Linked DNA regions of Oryzias latipes. The protein of the gene in region 1 interacts with the protein of each later gene in a pairwise test. Links are inferred from orthologs where the notes say so. Each region holds a gene or a part of one and is shown on either strand. Other genes may lie near its edges.

Region 1 (6,005 bases):
ATTAAACATCACATGACAACACTGGAAATCTAAACAAAAAAATCAGAAAACAAAAGTAATTTCCAGAAACATGAAATGTTATACAAGGGAACAACATTAGAAACTAAAAAGGAAAAATGACAAGAGAACATGTTAAAAACACCATTTTCACCAGAGTCGGTTTATAGAGATTCGACAACTTCTTGTTCCAGGTTTTAACAAGACAGATAGTGTGATTTTTTTTTTTAAAATCTTGTACATTATAATGCTAAATAACTCGGTTTAAAGGCACATTTTAACCAGTTTGTGGGGCTGGAAGGTGGTTCTCTATTCTAAATTTGTGACGTCATTGTTTTCTGATTGATTAGATATTTTTCATATTTTAACTCCAAAATCACGTCAATCTAAATGGTTCTACATCTTTAAAAACATCCCCTTCAACCCCCTAATAGTCTAATTTTTTATTTGTTTATTTCTTTGTTATTTACACGTTCCCTCCTCCTGGTGACGCCTGGATCCGCTTTGACACCCCGGCTGGGACTGACAGGATCCCCCCGGACTGATGTGCATCCATCCCGTCAGGTAATCCCTCCCAGCCGGTTGGAGGCCAGCAGACGAGACGGCGGCGCATTTACGGTCAACATGAATCCAAATTTAAGGCTATCAGCACCAGAATGCAGACCGGCTTCGGAACCGGAAACCGTTTGATTGTTTAACTTTGAGTTTATTTACGTTTAGTTTAAATTAATTTATCCCGAGATTTTATTTTGTACATCATTTTTATATATTTTAACCAATTTAAATTAGCGTTGAGGTCATAAATGCGTTAGAACATAGTTTGGGGATTTTTGGCTAATAATAATAAAAATAAAACTGTCGACATTAGCGTTAGGCGAATAAAAACACAGTTACCTTCTGGCATGGCCGCAGTTCTCCTCCGGTCGGCGTGAAGAAGGATGCGGGAGCGGCGATGAGGAGGAGAAGGAGGCAGCGGGAGAAGCAGGAGGTCCACGCCGGCTCCTGCATCCTCACCTGCGGTCACAATCGGGCGTTGTGTCCGCCACCGGGAGCCACAAACACAAAGCAGTCCGAGAGGCGAAGACGCTGCTGTCCCCGTCATGGATGCGCACGCGCCTCCCGCCCTCACCTGCCCAACTCCCCCTCCTCCCTCCATGCAGCGCTGACTGAGGAGAAGCACATCCGGCTACGACCTTCAAAATAAAACAAATTGCCTAAAAAAAGTAAACCATTTGATTAATGTTTTCTGAAGACTTTAAAACAGTCAAAAATTAATATATTTCTCCTCAAAGGAAATATAACCATTCACCAAGTTTGATTTTCATGACATTTTAAATGTATAGTGTAAGATTAAATCAGCTCTTGAAAACGTTGTTTTAATTTTTACCAAATCACATTGAAAAAACAAACTTTGAATATATATTTTAGACGGATCAGTGCAAAAAACAGTAATAAAATGTTGTAGTTGATCAATGTTACTTTTTTATACCATATGTTGACATACTCAGAATTTTGGGAACCTGACTTTAAATATTCTGCATCCCTTCAGTTCAAAGCTCAGTCTTCACTAAAACTAGAACTACGTTAAAAAAGCATAGATGTTGTGTGGTATAAAATTAACTACACCTTACAGTTTTCAAGGTTTGGATCCTACATTGGCACTACATATATTAAATTTGCTCAGTTTGTAGGGGTAAATTCCATCTGACAGAATATTATTGTGGAAGAAAATCCACTTCTGGGTTTTTCCTAAAGAAAGTTGTCAAAATGTTGTCATCTGGTGGATAATGTAGAAATGAGACAACTTGAAAGTATAAACCTGAACTCTAATGACAAAATTAGCAACTTTCCCCCTGTTTTTACAGGTATTTTACATGTTAAAAACAATAAATATCTTATTTTGAAAAATCCTCTAGTTAGTGTTTTGAAACTAATAAAGTAAGATCTTTATCAGTTAAATAGTCTTTTTATTGAATTAGCTTTAGAAATATTTCTTATTGCCAGAAATGCATTTGGAATTTCTAAGCACCATTACTTATATAACATAAAACCAAAAATGAAATGTCTCTTGCTTCCTATCCCTTAGCAAAAAGTAGTACACTTCATCTTTTATCAAGCATTAATGAATATAAGTATACTTTACACTAGGTAAACATGTGAAGTACGTAGCACACTTGTAGTACATATTATAGTATAAATCATCGTTTTATGTTTTCTGCTGCTCAGAGTTTGTTCGCGTTTATTATTATTATTATTATTATTACAGTTTGAAATTTGTCAATAAGTTTAAACACCATTTTCAATGGAGTGTGTTTGTGTGTGTGGGGGTGCAGTTCGTATATTTTCCGCTAGGTGACAGCAGCGTGCGGAAATCAGCTTGATGTACCCACAACGAAGAAACTGTCAAAACAGTCTGTTTTGATTCGCACACCGGTTAGAAAAATGACCGAATAAATAAAAGTTATTTTAAATATGCAGCGTACATTTTTCGGGAAGTGGGGACATTTTTTTGCCGCTGCGTGGAGGCGTGTTAACCGGTGGAAATAGCTGTTTGGGTGAACTTTTGTGCTAGCCGGTTAGCTTCGCTGAATCCAGCTGCTTCATGGAGATCTCTGGGCTGAACGTGACCATATATAGACCGGCCGAAGAGCTCTGTCCGCGGTGAAATGTAAACCGATCGGGGAGCAGACTCAAAGAACGACAACATTTAAAAGATTAAAAAAAACAAAACAAAAAAAGCTCATCATCATGTCATCCGAGCAGGTCATCGCCATCGTCGTGGATGACAAGATCTACGAGGTGGACAAGAAGAAGCTGATCGAGAAAAGCGACTACTTCCGAGCTCTGTACAGTTCCGGGATGAAGGAGTCCACGGAGGACTCTGTGGAGCTGCAGGGGCTCAGCATCCCCGGCCTGGAGCTGGTCCTGGAGTTCATCAACACCTCCAAAGTCCAGGTGGTGAACGAGACTCTGGAGGATCTGATCGAGACTGCCTCCTTCCTACAGGTCACCTCAATCCTGAAGCTCCTGACCTCAGAGATCCGGCTGGACAACTGCGTGGAGCTGTACAACCTCTCTGGGATCTACGGGACCCATGATCTGCGCAGCTCCTGCCTCAAGTACATGAGCTGCTATTACCACCCCATTCTGAGGCGGCCGGAGTTCAGCCGCCTGCCCTCTGCGGTCAGGGACCAGGTCAGGGAGATGCGCATGAAGGGCAGCGCCACCCTGGTGGCCATCGGAGACTTCACCTGCCTGTCCCTGGACGTGCCCGACCAGGACCAGCCCTGGTCCATGCTGCGGTACGGAGAGGTGGAGCAACGCTGGAAGCCCCTGTCCAACCAACTCCCGCCAGATATGGTCAACGTGAGAGGGTACGGCTCCACCGTCCTGGATAACTACCTGTTCATCGGTGGAGGATACAGGATGACCAGTCAGGAGATCTCTGCTGTTCACTGCTACAACCCCTGCAGGAATGAATGGAACCACGTGGCTCCGCTCAACCAGAAAAGGTACGACTTTTCCCCCCCATGGATTCACAAAGGTCAAATCCGAGGCGTTTCACCCTCTGTCCTCTCCTCCAGGTCCAACTTCAAGCTGCTGGCCGTTCAAGGGAAACTCTTTGCTGTTGGAGGCCAGTGTCTGGGCACGGTGGAGTGTTACTGTCCAGAGCAGGACTGGTGGACGTGTGTGTCCTCCATGCCAGACCCTCTGACTGAGTTTTCTGCCTGCGAGTGCCAGGGTTTCATCTACGTCATCGGAGGATACACGGCAAGGGGTGGGTTCGAAAAGAAAAAAAAACAGAAAACCGTTTGTTGTGTTGCTGAAATAGAGGTCAGGATTATGAAACCGGAAGGGAAGATGGTGATGGCTAAACAGTTGTGTCAAACAAAAAAAATTGGATAACAGGAGTGAGACAGGATGAAGACGTCCAGAAAAAAGTATCCTAATCTGCATCCAAAGCAGACTTTTTAGTATTATAAAGATTATTTTATAATGCTGAACACAAATCTTATCAGTAGTTTCTGAAGGATTTAATTTCTTAAGAACAAAAAAACTATCAGTTGCTGTTTTTTTTTAAACACAAAAACACATTTGAAAATAATTTAAAAAAGAAATCAGAATTATCCCCAAAATGTGGTTTGCTTCCTGTTAATGGAATGTAAATGAGAATTGGATTAAGTGACCCCCCCACCCCCTGGCGTACCAAACAGGAAAGTTAAATACTTTTGTGGCTACAACAGTCATCACAGAGGCACAACTATTAGATTTGATGAGTTTTACAAATAAGGGATGAAGTTCTTTTTAAATTAAAACTCCTGCCAATTTTAGTTTAAAAGAGCATCTTTAGGTTTAAAAATGAGGATGATTAAAAGTCAGAGAATAAAAAGTGTCTCAAATTTTTTAATAAACCGTTTGAAATGTCGAAGCTTCAGACGAAAGTGTCAGAAATGAAACCTGTGGATGTTTTTTTTTAGTTATGCTCTCCGTTTGGATCTGACAGACAGAAACACCAGCGTTCTCCGTTACTGCCCCACCTCCGACTCCTGGGCCGTGTTCCGGTCCTGTTCGGTCCACATTCGCAAGCAGCAGATGCTGTCGGTGGAGGACACCATCTACCTTGTGGGCGGTTACACCCACGAGCTGCAGACGGGTTGGTGCCGGCGCCGCCCGAGCCAGACCGAGGACGTCCTGACGGTGCATTCCTACAACGTGACCACCGGGGAGTGGCTCCAGCTCAAGGAGAACACGTCCAAGTCGGGTCTGAACCTGACCTGCGCGCTGCACAACGACGGCATCTACATGATGAGCCGGGATGTGAGCCCGCTCACCAGTTTGGAGCACCGCGTCTTCCTCAAGTACAACATTTTCTCAGACGCCTGGGAGGCCTTCAGGCGCTTTCCTGCTCTCGGGCAGAACACGCTGCTGTGCTCGCTTTACCTCCCCAATGTGCTATGACTGTTGGAGGGGGGGGGGGGGGCGGAGACCTGAGCTCTAACACAGGATTGGAGGAGACCAAGTCAACCTATGTGCCTCAAAACTATCGGAGCCAAAAAAAAAAAGAAGTGCCTCTGATCTGTTAACACAGTTATAAGAATATAAATGCACCCTCTGAAAACCGTTTCCCATCATGCAGTTCCATCTTTGCAGGAACAAGCTTCATATTTCTTCATGCAGAGTTTTAAATGTGGTCTCTCTCAGCATTTTCCTGATGTTTACACTACAGACACAGACGAGTGCGTCGGTCCAGATTTCACCTCAAACCTTTGAGTGGCTGCATTTGTGGTCGTGCACACAGCGGACAGCCGTGGCCTTGGTTTGATGCCGCCAAACGGGGCACTGTGTGCTCGCTGCACGGTTTCAGAAACACTAGACGGCACTCTTCCATGAACTGAAAGATGCACGTGCCTTCTGCTGCCTCACTCTAAACAACTCAAAAAAAGAATTATTACAATTGACTAAATCTGTTCTGTTTTTCTTTTCTTTTCTTTTTTTTAAACTTTTTTTTAAATGATGTACTTGTTTTGGGTTTTTGTTTCCAGGAAAAAGAGTTAAGTCTTTGGAAACTATGACAAAATAAAGATTTCTTTGTATGTCAAGTTCCTGAGTGGTTTCATTAACTGATTCTAAAGTCTTAAATGAAAAAAGGAAAAAATGTAATCTGATAATCTATGATTCTGTGATCCGAGTAAACCTGTCCTTGCATAAATAAACAGCACCATTTATTAATTATATAAAATGTGAGTTAGTGTCATTGAAACGGAAATTTTTTTTGTTAACTTTGTTGAAGCCTTGTTGACTTAAATCAAGTAATGAAAACTTCCTTTTACAAAAAATGTTCATATTTTCAGTGTTTTGTTTTATGTTTGTCAAATTCTTTCGGAAAGCTTTGAAACATTAAACAAAATAAAAACGATGATCAATAAGCTGAATGATGCGAATCACGGAAGTTTTCAAAAATCTTTTTACCTAATAAGTAGTAAAATATGTGTAAAAACAGGGAGAGA
Region 2 (5,939 bases), on another chromosome or scaffold:
GACCCAGAAGGCCATGGCCATGTCGAAGGCTACACATGCTAAAGTTCCCTTACAGACCAAACAAAAGGCTCAAAATTGCTCGTGAGTCCTGAACAACAACCATCGTTTCTAGAAGCAGTCTGTTGGAACTCCAACATAAATGGTAAATGGCGTTTACTTGTATAGCGCTTTCCTAACTTCTCAGAAGGCCCAAAGGGCTTCCAGTCACAGTCCCATTCAGCTACGGATAGTGGCTCTGATGCCCAACACTGACACCAACCTATACTCACCAGGAGCATGGTGGGCTTCATTGTCTTGCCCAAGGACACTTTGACACATGGGCGGGCAAGGCAGGAACCAAACCAGCGATCTTCCGATCAGAGGTCGACCAATCTACCTCTACACAATGGCCGCCCCGCATGCAGATCACCAGCCAGCCCCCAGAGAGGTGTGACACGGGACAAAGACAAGGACAACCCCTTCTTCTCCAGAGACACCCGACTGGGAGAAAGAGTTTCAAACCAAGGCCAGCCAGGCTCCAGTACTGACCAACCCATCACATGCTGGAGGGGACATGAAAACAGCCTGCTGGGTCCAAGACCCTCTCAGGTAAGATGTAATATCATCTCCAAGTCATGAATCACTGGGATTACCTTTCCCAAGTGGAGATGAGTCCATGGGTGGCTGTGGTGCAGAGGTAGAGTGGTCAGCCTCTGAACTTCTGATCACCGAAGATCACCAGCTCGATTTCTGCCCTGCCCGCCTATTGAAGTGTCCTTGAGCAAGACACTGAGGCCCACATTGCTCCTGGTAGTATAGTGCCAGTGTTAGGCAGAAGAGCCACCATCAGGGGCGGCAGGGGCGTCCATTGATCGAAGGGTCGGTGGTTCGATCCCCGCTCCCCCCAGCCAACTGTTTATTGTGTCTTTGGGCAAGACACTCCACTGTGGCTCCACTGTGGCTCCACTGGTGTGTGAATGTGTATGAATGTCCCGGTGATGGTCACAGGGGCCGTAGGCGCAAACTGGCAGCCACGCCTCTGTCAGTCTGCCCCAGGACAGCTGTGGTACATCAGTAGCTACATCACCAAGAACGAATGAGGAGTGAATGAATAATGGACACAATGTAAGCACTTAGAGCACCAAGAAAAAGTGCAATTAATCTAATCCATTATTATTATTATTGTGTGAATGTGTGTGTAGAGCTGTGACGGTGTCGGATTTTTCATCACCGCGGTGATGAACCACCAGGGGGCGCGGTGTCGCGGTTAACCGCAGCCCCCCCCCCCCCCCCCCCCAAAAAAAAAAAACAAAAAAAAAAAAAAAAAATACAATTACAACGTAGTATTCTTTATTATAAAATAACAGTAACAACTAACTACTACCAAACTAATGAACTAACTATATATAAAGCCCATATAGGTGTTGTGGGTTGACTGTGACTGTGTGGGTCAGCGCTGCATGTACGTAGGAGGAAGGTGCGCACATGTTTGTTGGTGGTGCGTGTTGATCCCTCTGCAGCGGACCGCTCTCTAGCTGCACGCGAGCCTTCACCCGTGCTCTTTGGCACACACATTTTCTCAGAATATTAAATATTGCCCAGTAATAAACAGACTGCAGACACTTTTTTCACTTTTCCGGTAGCCATGAAGAACACGGGCCAGGAGGCTCCGCCTTTGTTTATACAGACACGTAACGTTACGCTGCAAAAAATAGTTCCCAAACAAAACATGTAGTGATATTCATGGAAATCTAACAGCGCGCGTTCATGTTTGGAGTGAAGGTGAACCCTAATAACCCCCCCCCCCCCTCCCTACACACAAAATCCTCCGGCGGGCGGCCGTTTCGCGCGCCCTTAAGAACGCATGCAGCTTGAAACGGAAATGAATACAATGTAAATTAACAATTAGAACGCGGTAAATTTGTCATATTTCCTCGCGAGACGAAAACTTCTGTTGTAGAATGAGTTTGTGTGCTTCTGAAAGCGCGCTCCTGTGTGTAAAGGGAGCAGCGTGGCACGTGCAGCGCGGAGGCACTGAGAGCGCGCGCCTATGAGAGAGAGCGGTGGGAGAGAAGGAGAAAACAGTCTGAAAGAAAGAAGGAAAGTCTGAACACAGGACTAGCAGAAAAAGTCAATTATCAGGAAAGATGAATGTGTTTAATGTGTTTATTATGGCTCCATTGACGCGCCATATGCAAAACTTAACAAAAACAAACAAAAAAAAAACGTGCGGTGATACGGTTATCGTCACATCCCTATGTGTGTGTGCATGGGTGAATGGGACTGTGACTGTAGGGTGCTTTGGGCTTTTAAGGAAGGTAGTAGAGTCCTGCATAAGCAAACGCCATTTACCTGGTCCAAAGAGCCAATACACCACGGACACATCCCTGCAATTCAATTCAATTCAATTCAATTTTATTTCTATAGCCCAAATTCACAACAACAGTCGTCTCAATGGGCTTCATACCAGTAACTGTAAGGTAAACATACTATCAAAAAGGATCATAAATGCATAGAATTCAATAGGATAATAAACTTTAACTAAACAGACTAAACTAAACTGGCATCCCTGCCCTTAGACCCTCCTTCTATAGGGAAAAACTCCTAAAAAAAACGGATTTCGGAAAAAATGAAGAAACCTCAGGGGGGTCCACATGAAGGAGGGATCCTCCCCCAGGACGGACAGGCGATTTACCAGAACTCATAGATAAGAACTAACTGATCTAACTCAACAACTACATATTAAAATGGTCCAGCAGATGATCTTCATCCATGCTGGTGCCTCCTACATGGGATGGAGTAGATTCTCCTTTTGCATTTGAGGGCCTTCAAAATGCTTTCTCTGCACTAAACAATAACAACCTGGACACGTGGATAAAGCAGATTTTTAAGCCAAATTGCAGTTTAAAATGTTTAGAGCCAGTATGGTGATGCGTAAAAGACATTGTGCACATTCTTCAGATGCAGGAAGAATAGTTTTCCTTTAACTTTGGTGATGCTGCACTGTGGTGGAAGAGGAGGAGTGAGGATCAGCACACGACCTGCAGCAAACAAAGCGGCTCTATTATTAACTCATTACCTGAACTGACATGTCATCATGAGCTCACAGTCAGATTATGCTGCGCGTGCGTGCCTTCATGCATCCATGCACGCCGTGCACCAAAAAGCTAAGTGAGTGAAATTATATAAAGAGATCAGGAAGATGTTTTTATTGTTTTATTGAAAGAAGAACACTGAACCTTAAGTCACTTTGACTTGTTTCTGTTAGGATCAGACTGAAACACCTGCACGAGCCGTGACTTGGCCACGTGAAAGGAAAAATACTCCTTAAATGTGTGACTTCAAAAATAAACACTGCTGTCATCTGAAGGAGAAAGGAAAAGAAGAACCGTCAACTTTGTTCCTTATTTTTCCAAGCGTGTTCCCAAAAATATTTGAAGGCGACCATTGAACCACGCTGGAAAAGGAGCACAACCCCACAATGACAACACGAACTGAAGACGCGCGCGTGCAAGCAGCAACAAACAATCATGTCCGTATTACTAACACGCAAACACGTTCTGGTGACCCGCGACTGTCTTAAAGGGGGCGGGGGGCACTCACCAGTACAACAGCGACAGTCCATCGAAGCGTTCCGCGTCCTGGGGGAGGAACGGCATCGCCGCCGCGGGGGTGTGACTGACCCCGCCTCACAAAAACACACAGATGAGCTCGGCGGCTCCGAGCGGCTCTCTGGCTGAGAGCGCGCGCGGCGCCGGGGCAGCTAGCAAATCCTCCTGCAGGCGCGCGCGCGCTCTTATCTTTTCCCGCTAATCCAAGTTGAACGCTCCCGAGAGCAGGTGAAAACTTCAGGAAAGGAACGCGCCGCTGCTCACGGACTAAGGTCAGCAATTATCAGAAAGGAAAAAAAAACAGTTTAACATTCAGAAACATAAAAAATTCAGAGAGTACGACGCTAATAAACAATTTACAGCTAAAAAACTTTTGCTTTCATTTATCTATATGTAAAGCAGGTTTGGCGTCTGCTGATCTTTTTAGCGAAATCCCAATTCCCTCCAGACTCCCTGACTACTAAAAATCTATACATTGTGCAGAACTATCTAGCGACATGGATTTTAAGAGCAATTTGAACACAATGTGTGCAACTTTTTTTAAACGACAATTATGACGTCACAGATTTCCCAAAGTAGAAACCTAATGAATTATTTAGGAAGACTATTTATGAATCCTGTGTTCTGAGGATGAAAACTTGGGTGCATGGTTTAAAAAATTAAAATACATTTTGAACATGAAAAAAATCGTTCAAGCGTAATTCCTTGTGGTCTATATTGGGCAAATCTTCTGAGCATAGATGATGTCCACTGGTATTTTGCAGAGACTTCTGGGAAATGTAAATAGGATGGCAACTGGAGCAGACCATTGTCCGTAAAATAAGGACTGGACTGAACTACCTCTCCCCTTCCCGTTCCAAATAGTACTAAGATACTCTGTGGAACCCGCTGGTTCCAAAAGCCAAAATCCTGTAGACTTCTATTAATGAATGAACAGCTATTACTCTGCCATTATGTTAGTCAGAATAACCGTTCTTGTTCTACTGCCTATTATTAACATGTTATTGCTAATTCTGTTTTTTTTTTCATGATATTTTTGCTGGAGCACAAGTTATCAACTGACCATTCAGATGCCTCAATAAAAGCCTGGCATCAAACATTTGAAGCATTGGATTGACAGATTGTTCGGAGCCCGCTTTCAGTGGTAGGGGTGTGGCCTTCTAACTTAATCACTCCTGATTGGAGAGAGTGGTTGCCATTGAAATAGACAGGCCAATCCTCCATCCTCACTGAGGATGTGTGGTTCCAAAATGGGAAAGGAGTCAAAATGGCGACTGAATTGACTTTGTTCGGTTGGAACCGGAAGCAAGGCATTTTCTATGGGTGATGTCCCATGCGATTGTCCAGCTATATACAGTCAATGGAGCAGACCCAACCTTTGTCACCTGACCTCAGAGTAGCCCTAATAGAATGGCACGATTGTGGATCTTGAGAGTGTCATGTTAGCGGAGAACGGTTACAGACCCAGACCCGGAAAGATCACGGAAGAGATCAAGAGAAACTGGTATTCTGGAGAGGTGTTCTGTGGCTGGAGGAGGAAGCCACGATGATGGGATGATGGAAGAGCGTGAGTCCCAGTGGAGGAGGAAGTGAGTGCTGGATGCAGTCCAAGACGGTGAATGGAGTAGTCCTCGTTTTGTGGCGATGCACAGACAATAGCTGTCCCAATTCCCACCCTAACAACTAAAAAACTATATAGTATCCTGAATAGTAAAACCAATACGGACACCATGCTCACTCCTTTTTTATTTTTTAAACGTCATCGATTTCACGAAGGTGGTACCTCCGTAGAGGGCAGATGAACTGGCGATGAACACAGGAACAGGAACATCTTAAATAGAGCTCAGAGCAGGAATGCTGAAGAGGGGAGCAGCTGAGTCCAATGGTGGGACACACAGAGTAAATTCTGCATGGGGGGGGAGAAGGAGTAGATACCCCGGGGCACCATGACAGTATAGTACCTGTATAGTACCTGTGTCTGAACAGCAACCAAATGTAGGAGTTTGGCTTTTCTGCTTTTTAGTTACAAGACTGAAATTCAGCATTGTGATCCCCTTTTTCCTGATTTCTTTCATAATCTAAGATAAGAAGTAAAATAGTTTACTAGGTGCCTCATAGGAAATGATAACTGTGTATATACTAGTGATGAGGACATCTCAAGGAGTGTACAGACACATTACCTAAACTGTTACTCCCTCTCTAGTGACCCCTGCAGTATTTCTCCAATCATTGCAGGTAAATGAAGAAAAAAAACAACAATTGGACTTTTGAAAAAGCTAGCTGAAAATGGTGATTTTGGAGTTTTTAACATGTTCTTGTGGCACTTTTCCTTATGATGGGGGATATATA

Evidence for each region. The genes of interacting proteins can lie anywhere in the genome.
Region 2: the proteins of klhl42 (region 1) and stxbp4 interact in a two-hybrid assay, tested with the Homo sapiens proteins (2 studies listed by BioGRID and IntAct). The two-hybrid records come from large-scale screens. The link is inferred for Oryzias latipes from reciprocal best matches to the Homo sapiens genes KLHL42 and STXBP4.

Annotation. Positions count from the first base shown.
Region 1 is NC_019881.2:20,310,784-20,316,788, reverse strand, and holds klhl42 (kelch-like protein 42), read left to right. Parts: upstream 1-2,267; 5' UTR 2,268-2,745; coding exon 2,746-3,775; intron 3,776-4,501; coding exon 4,502-4,956; 3' UTR 4,957-5,597; downstream 5,598-6,005. Other genes in the region: UPF0577 protein KIAA1324-like, read right to left, coding at 892-1,005. UniProt on the Homo sapiens protein: Substrate-specific adapter of a BCR (BTB-CUL3-RBX1) E3 ubiquitin-protein ligase complex required for mitotic progression and cytokinesis. The BCR(KLHL42) E3 ubiquitin ligase complex mediates the ubiquitination and subsequent degradation of KATNA1.
Region 2 is NC_019877.2:24,479,694-24,485,632, reverse strand, and holds the start of stxbp4 (syntaxin-binding protein 4), read right to left. Parts: upstream 3,742-5,939; 5' UTR 3,639-3,741; coding exon 3,583-3,638; intron 1-3,582. UniProt on the Homo sapiens protein: Plays a role in the translocation of transport vesicles from the cytoplasm to the plasma membrane. Inhibits the translocation of SLC2A4 from intracellular vesicles to the plasma membrane by STX4A binding and preventing the interaction between STX4A and VAMP2.